Linked DNA regions of Macaca mulatta. The protein of the gene in region 1 binds, or shares a complex with, the protein of each later gene. Links are inferred from orthologs where the notes say so. Each region holds a gene or a part of one and is shown on either strand. Other genes may lie near its edges.

Evidence for each region.
Region 2: FNIP1 (region 1) and LAMTOR2 share a complex: the UniProt entries of both Homo sapiens proteins name them as parts of the lysosomal folliculin complex. The link is inferred for Macaca mulatta from reciprocal best matches to the Homo sapiens genes FNIP1 and LAMTOR2.

The regions. Positions count from the first base shown.
Region 1 is NC_133411.1:140,591,791-140,595,604, forward strand, and holds part of FNIP1 (folliculin-interacting protein 1), read right to left. Parts: intron 2,415-3,814; coding exon 2,245-2,414; intron 1-2,244. UniProt on the Homo sapiens protein: Binding partner of the GTPase-activating protein FLCN: involved in the cellular response to amino acid availability by regulating the non-canonical mTORC1 signaling cascade controlling the MiT/TFE factors TFEB and TFE3.
Region 2 is NC_133406.1:110,879,312-110,883,621, forward strand, and holds the start of LAMTOR2 (ragulator complex protein LAMTOR2), read right to left. Parts: upstream 2,908-4,310; 5' UTR 2,783-2,907; coding exon 2,715-2,782; intron 2,410-2,714; coding exon 2,247-2,409; exon of another isoform or gene 1,229-2,246; intron 1-1,228. Other genes in the region: UBQLN4 (ubiquilin-4), read left to right, coding at 3,961-4,068. UniProt on the Homo sapiens protein: As part of the Ragulator complex it is involved in amino acid sensing and activation of mTORC1, a signaling complex promoting cell growth in response to growth factors, energy levels, and amino acids.

The DNA.
Region 1 (3,814 bases):
GACTGTAGAATTAAAAAAGGATTTAAATGTCCCAATTTAAAAAATACTACTAATAATTTGATTTTTAAAAAGTCAGTGCAATGGAATACTACTCAGCATTAAAAAGGAATAAACTATTAATACACACAAAATAGGTGAATCTGCAAAGTATATACTGCATGATTCCATTCATATAAAACTCTAGAAAATGCAAGTAATCTATCATGACAGAAAGTAAGCCAGTGGCTGTGTAGGGATGGTGGAAGAGGAACAGAGAAACTGGGGAGAAGAAGAGGGGGAGGAAGAGGAAGAGATTACAAAAAGGCATAAGGAAACTTTTGGAAATGATGCAATATGATTACTGTTTTGATTGTGGTCATGGTTTCAGAGGCATATATGCGAAACTTATCAAATTGCTTTTTTTTTTTTTGAGACAGATTCTCGTTCTGTTGCCCAGGCTGTGGTGCAGTGGCATGATCTCGGCTTACTACAACCTCTGCCTCCGGGTTCAAGGGATTCTCCTGCCTCAGCCTCCTAAGTGGCTGGGATTATAGGCGCCTGCCACTATGCCCAGCTAATTGTTTTTTTGGTTTCTTTTTTTTTTTTTTTTTTTTGAGACGGAGTCTTGCACTGTTGCCCAGGCTAGAGTGCAGTGGTGCGATCCCAGCTCACTGCAAGCTCCGCCTCCTGGATTCACGCCATTCTCCTGCCTCAGCCTCTCGAATAACTGGGACTATAGGCGCCCGCCACCATGCCCGGCTAATTTTTTGTATTTTTAATAGAGATGGGGTTTCACCGTGTCAGCCAGGATGGTCTCAATCTCCTGACCTTGTGATCCACCCGCCTCAGCCTCCCAAAGTGCTGGGATTATAGGCGTTAGCCACTGCACCTGGCCATTGTTTTGTATTTTTAGTAGAGGCAGGGTTTCCCCATGTCGGCCAGGCTGGTTTCGAATTCCTGACCTCAAGTAATCCACCCACCTCAGCCTCCCAAAGTGCTAGGATTACAGGCGTGAGCCACCGCACCCAGCCCAAATTGTGTACTTTAAATATGTGTTGGGCCGGGTGTGATGGCTCACATCTGTAATCCCAGCACCTTGGGAGGCCAACGTGAGCAGATCGCTTGAGTCCAAGAGTTTGAGAGCAGCCTGGGGAACATGGCGAAACCCCATCTCTACAAAAAATGCAAAAACTAGCCTAGTGTGGTGGTATGCACCTGTAGTCCCAGCAACTTGGGTGACTAAGGTAGGGGGATCATTTGATCCCAGGGAGATTGGAGCTGCAGTGAGCCATGATCATGCCACTGTACTCCAGCCTTGGCAAGAGTGAGACTCCATTAAAAAAATGCATTTACTATATGTCAATTATAACTCAATAAAATGGAAGGGAATGGGGGAGGGAGCAAGGGAGAAAGCCAATAGGGAAGGAGGTTGGTTATATGAACTGATAAGCCATATGACAATCTACCTGGCAAGGTCAATCACCAGAGCAACCTAAGGAAAGTTACTACCCAATCACCAAAATGTTCTCATCTTACTCTTCTCCCATCATCTAACAGCAATAGAGTAGGAGCAGAAATAACTAGCAGCTACGTTTACCAGACAGTCTTAACCATTTTACATGTATTATCTCATTTAATTTTTACAACTTTTAAAGTATGTATCATCTATTATTATTCCCACTTTATGAATAAGGAAACTGTGATTCAAACGTGGTGTGCCTGACTCCACAGCCTGTGTCTTTAGCACTCTGCTATAATCCCTCCCTATTGCCTATGAACTTATCAACCACTTACTCTCCCCTCTTCCCCCACTTGTTTAGTGGTGTTTAACACTGAGGGAAACATTTTCCAAAATGACTCAGCAAGTGAACAAAAGTGGATCAACAGAAACCTCAGTGAACTGCTTCCCTCCTAACCAGATTTATTTTAGGTATCACAGGTGACTTTGTTGATTCATTCTTTCTTGCAAAGTACCTAACACAAAGTACAAAATCATAAAACACCCTGAAAATCTGGAGTTACTAGTAAACCAGCTATTAGCCTGCTCCTCTTGCCATACCTGCAGTTCTTCATCTATAAGGAATGATTTCAGGTCTAAGATGAGGATAGGATAAATTGCCAGACATGAAAGGACAAGCAAAGCAGAGATGCTTTAGAATGCAGGAGGTAAAGGCATTTTATTTATTTTTGGTTTTGCTATAAAAATATTACAGATAGCTACAAAACAAGTTTAATATATACTGTAACAGTTGTCAGATTACATACCCAGTTGTGCCCAAAGTGGGTTATATGGATGAGTCTTTGCCAACATGTCCACACTCTGAGAGGAATGCTTTTCTAAAAATATTTTTATAGGTGGCTGTCCATTTGGCATGACTGTTGGAACCCAGGCAAGATGATTAGTCAGAACTGCAGTAATGAGAGCTGGCAAGAATCTGAAAACAAAATACATCTGATCAAATTCCAATCTGCCTTCATGAAACCTTTATGTAGTGACAAAGTAAGCAAGAAGAGTATATATGTTCATGTGGCCAAATGGCACCAAAAAAAGCAGAGGAGAGTGGAAAGGATGAGTATATAACACCAGGATTAAAATGAAAGTTAATTGTTTCCGGTTGAGAAGGAGTTAAAAACTACTTAAAATAAAGGTAACATTCAAAAGAGCTATTGTAGATCATAAGTACAAAACAGAAATGCCCTTTTACTTCAAAAATTATGGATTCTTTTTCTTTTTTTTGAGATGTAGTCTCGCTCTGTTGCCCAGGCTGGAGTGCAGTGGCGCAATCTCAGCTCACTGCAAGCTCCGCCTCCCCAGTTCATGCCATTTTCCTGCCTCAGCCATCCGAGTAGCTGGGACTACAGGCACCCGCCACCACGCCCGGCTAATTTTTTATATTTTTAGTGGAGACGGGGTTTCATCCTGTTAGCCAGGATGGTCTTAGCCAGGATGGTCTCGATCTCCTGACCTCATGATCCACCCGCCTCGGCTTCCCAAAGTGCTGGGATTACAGGCGTGAGCCACCGTGCCAGGCCCATTATGGATTATTTTCAGTGTTTAATCACACAATTCATTACTGAATCAACCAGCAGGTCCTTACATTTCCAAATTACTGAATGGGAAAACGAGGCAAAGTATTGAGCAAACTCCGTCTATCATCAAAGAGAATAAAAACATCTGAATTACTCATCTGGATTCCAAAGACTTGAATAGTTAAAAGAAAACAGTATGATAAAACATCACACTGAAAATGCATCACTAAAATCCTAGCATTTCCTTACATGTTTTTTTTCGTTTGTTTATTTTTTTGAGACAGAGTCTGGCTCTGCCGCCCGGGCTAGAATGCAGTGGCATGATCTCGGCTCACTGTAAGCTCCACCTCCTGGATTCATGCCATTCTCCAGTCTCAGCCTCCCGGGTAACTGGGACTACAGGAGCCCACCACCACGCCTGGCTAATTATGTTTTTGTATTTTTAGTAGAGATGGGGTTTCACCGTATTAGCCAGGATGCTCTCGATCTCCTGACCGCATGATCCACCCACCTCGGCCTCCCGAAGTGCTGGGATTACAGGTGTGAGCCACCACGCCTGGCCATCCTTACATGTTTTCTACCTCTTTTCTATGAAATAAAACTATAAGTGGATACAATTCACAAAAAAATGGGCAGCCTCAGACAATTCTATGTCAGGAATTTTAATTACATAATTACAGACATTTTCACTGCTTTTCATTCATAAGGTTCTGTAATATTCTTCCATACCCTATCATTTAATTATTTTTTAGAATTCTGATTATTAATTTTGATTAATAATATAATTTCAAAGATAATGGATGAT
Region 2 (4,310 bases), on another chromosome or scaffold:
GTCCCAGCTACTCAGGAGGCTGAGGCAGGAGAATGGCGGGAACCCGGGAGGCGGAGCTTGCAGTGAGCCGAGATCGCGCCACTGCACTCCAGCCTGGGCAACAGCGTGAGACTCCGTCTCAAAAAAAAAAAGAAAAAAAAAAAAAAAGAAGGTTGATCAGCATTAAAAAAGAAAAAAGAAAAAATGAAGTATATTACATGTAGTAGGAAAAGTATTGTTTCATGACTTTTGTTTTAGTGGGTATATGTGTGTGTTGAGCTGTGACTTAAAATGTCTTTCTTAAAAAATTATTTCCTATTTATTTATTTATTTATTTTTAAAAAAAGTTTTTGTAGAGATGAGGTCTTGTTAGGTCACCAAGGCTGGTCTCAAACTCCTGGCCTCAAGTATCCTCCAGCCTCAGTCTGTGTTGGGATTACAGGAGTGAGACACTGCGCTCAGCCTTAAAATGTATTTGTTTTTTGTTTGTTTGTTTGTTTTGGTTTTTTTTTTGAGATGGAGTCTCGCTCTGTTGCCCAGGCTGGAGTGCAATGGCGTGATCTCAGCTCACTGCAACCTCCACCTCCTGGGTTCAAGTGATTCTCCTGCCTCAGTTTCCTTAGTGGCTGGGATTACAGGCACATGCCACCATGCCTGACTAATTTTTTGTACTTTTAGTAGAGACAGGGTTTCACCATGTTGGCCAGGCTGGTCTTGAACACCTGACCTCATGATCTGCCCGCCTCAGCCTCCCAAAGTGCTGGGATTACAGGCATGAGCCACCGTGCCGGCCCTTTAAAATATATTTCTTATGGCTGGGTTGTGGTCAAAACGTTTGAAAGCTATTTCCTTATAGCACCAGCTCTAGGCATCCAGTAGGAGTCTTATGTTGAACTAAAAATGGCATTGGTTGTGCAGGGGGTAGGGGAGAGTAGGCAGTTGAGTTACTATGAAGATCCTTCCTGGAGAGTTCACCCTCTGGCCGATTTGAAAAAAACAAAAGTAAGTTCGGCAAACTTTTACTAGGTATTCATTGTATGCCAGGAACCAAGCACTGCACTCCCTGCCTCTCTGACCTTATCTCCTACTTAACCCTCCTCCATTCTCATGCAACTCCAGCCATACCAACCAACCCTGTTGATCCTTGAGCAGGCATAATTCTGCCTCAGGGCCTTGGTACTTGCTGTTCTGTCCAAAATATTCTTCCCTCAGATAGCCACATGGCTTGTCCCCCACCTTTCTTCACATCTTTGATCAAATATCACCTTTCCAGTGAGACTGTCCCTGACACATACGCCCAACAAACTCATACTCTTTAACTTCCCTGCTTTCTCTCCATTGCAATTTCAATACCTAATATATACTACATATTTTACTTATTTTAAAAAATGTGGCCGGGCACAGTGACTCACACCTGTAATCCCATCACTTTGGGAGGCCGAGGTGGGTGGATCACTTGAGCCAGGAGTTTGAGACCAGCCTGGGCAACATGGCAAAACCCAGTCTCTGCAAAAAATCCAAAACTTAGTGAGGTGTGGTGGTGCATGACTGTAGTCACAGCTACTCAGGAGGCTGGGGCAGCAGGATCACCTGAGCCCAGGGAGGTCGAGGCTGCAGTGAGCTGTGATCGCATCACTGTGTAAGATTTATTAGGTCTGGGGGTTTTGTCTTTCTGTTTGCTGTTTTTTTTCCCTAGTCCTGAGAACACTGCAAGGACCTAAATATTTGTTAACTGAACAGATACTAGGAAGTTCACAGTCTAATGGCGACTTCCCCTTTCTGGACTTCATTTTCCTTTCTTTGTAACCTTAAGGGGTTGGACTAGGGTCTGGAGACTGCCATGGTTCTGTGAGTCGGTGAAGCTGGGATGACAACACTTTGTGTTTGCACGTCATTCTACTGTTTATACCCATTATTTCATTTGACCTTCACAACAACCCACGAGGGAAGCGGGGAGAGGGAAATTGTCTTCTCCTTAGACATGAGGTAAGGAAGCTGAGAGAGGTTAAGCGACTTACCCAAGGTTCCACAACTGATAAGTGGATGGCTGAGACCAGAACCCAAGTCAGACCTCTCAGGTCCAGGGCTCCTTCCTCACCACCACTTGATGAATAGGGTCCTGCCTATTACAAATGCTGCTGCAGACCAACTCTTAGTAATCTTCCGGAGATCCTGTCCCTGCCCCTCCAACCATCCAGGATGGGGTCCAGGTCGCCCCCTTGGGATCCCCTTGGGGGACAGGGGAAGTCTGGCTCCCCTCTCCATACCATGCAGTCCATGAGGATGAATTTGAGATTGTCTTCATTAAATGCTTGGTTCCCGTTCCGGTCGTAGGCGGCCCAGATGTTACTGGCTATGGCAGCGGTGACCCGGGCGTCAGTGTCCCCGTAACCAGAGTAGGCCAGCAGTGATCCCTCGTTATTCAGCAGCCTGGTGAGGGGCGGGGAGGGATAACGATGTGCTCAGCGCGGGGAGTAAAACGTCTGGGTTTCCATCTCAAGTCCCGCCACGGGCACATCCAGCAAGGCTCTCGGCTGAGTGTGTCCCGGAACGTGCCCTAAGCACCCAGCACACCGGCCTCCCTTTTCGAGAGGTGACCTCCCGGCCGGTACCCCCAGCCACTGCCCCCTCTGACGCCTCCTCCCTTCCGGGCGATCCTTCCCCACCCCTCCCTCAGGGAGTCGCACGCCGCTCCACTGCAGCGCGCGCCGCTGGGGTCCGTGGTCCGCACTCACAGGGTGCTCTGGACGCCTCCAGTGTTGGCTTGGCTTAGCACCTGGGTCAAAGCCTTGGGGCGCAGCATGCCTACCGCTCCTAACCCTGGGTTTTTGCACCCAGATCCTCCGAGATGCCTCCCGCGGGCCGCTGCCCGCTGCTTCCCGTAGTCCCGTTGGCCTGCTCCGGGATGCCCTGGGAGTTGTAGTTTCCTCGCCTGGCTATTGTGGTTCCGACTCAACACCGCCCCGCCGCGGGGGTCTCTGGGAATCGTAGTTCCTCGTGACCTCGCGAGGCACCATGGGAACTATAGTTCGCCTTTCCAGGCGGACCACGCGGTTGTGGGGGCGGAAAAGAGCGGGAGTGAAAGGACAGCTGCAGCGCTGGAAGGACATTTAACCCCTTCGGGGAGAAAGGAATCAACGTGTCCGCTTGGCAGTCCACGATTCAATAATTATACTACATCCTCATATTTGTCAGGCGCGCCTTTGGTTACTTTCAAAACAGTTTTCTCCGTTATGCACAATTCTGTGCGATGAGGCGAGAGGTACTATTATTATCTTGAGGAAATCAAGGCTCTGAAAGGCCACGCAGCCAAAACCCAGCTCCCTGGAACCGTTCGCAACAGACCATTTAGGCCGCGACCCTCGGGGCTATAGGGTCAGTCCTAGAGCTGAGATCCTAAGTGGACGTGCTTGGTGGGAAACCCAACCTCCAAGTCGGGAAAGGCCCCTGGCCTGGAAGGGACTTGGGGCTTCCAAGAAAGACCAAGTTATCACAGGGAACGGAGATAAAGCGGCGACACACAAAGTCCTTTGTCCCGGAGCAGAGTTAGCCGCGGAGGGGGCGGGGAGGCTTTGGGCCGGAGGGGACGGCGGCACGGCTCGGGCGAGCAGCGTTGGGCCGCGGTCTCCCGGGGAGTTCGCCCTCGCCCCCGCAGTGAAGGGCACGTCCCTTCCCCCGCCCAGAGCCTCCCCAGGAGCCCCAGCTTGGCGAGACCCTGGCCGGATTCCGGACCTGGGGCTTGGCCCTGGGCGGACCCCGCTGCAGTGGCCCCCCCGGTCCGCCCGGGGCGCTGTGGCTGCGGCTGGTCTGGAGGGGGCGGTGAAGCCTCAGGGAGGGGAGGGGAGAGGAGGGGAGGGGAGGGGAGGGGAGAGGTGGAGAGAGGGGAGTGTTGGAGGCGCAGGAGCCGAGCCGGGCCGGCCGGGCGGGCGGGGAGGAGGAGGAGCCGGGCGGGCTGGCGGGCGGCCGGGTGGCGGCGGCGGCATGGCGGAGCCGAGCGGGGCCGAGACGAGGCCCCCTATTCGGGTCACCGTCAAGACCCCTAAGGACAAGGAGGAAATTGTGATCTGCGATCGAGCCTCGGTCAAGGAGGTAGTACAGCAGGCGGGAGGCGGGGGGAGCGCGGAGGAGGGGTCTGCGAAGAGATGGGGGCCTCCCTGACGGTCTGGCGTCCTGGAGGGCCCCGGAGAGGAGAGCGGGGGCCAGCTGGGACTCCGAGGAGCTGAAGGGAAGGAGAGTCGGGTAGGGGGCGCCCTGCGAGGGGAGATATTGGGGAGCGTGGCGCGTGTTGGGGGGCGGGTTTTGCCTTGTGGCCTGGGCTGGGGGCGTGGTGG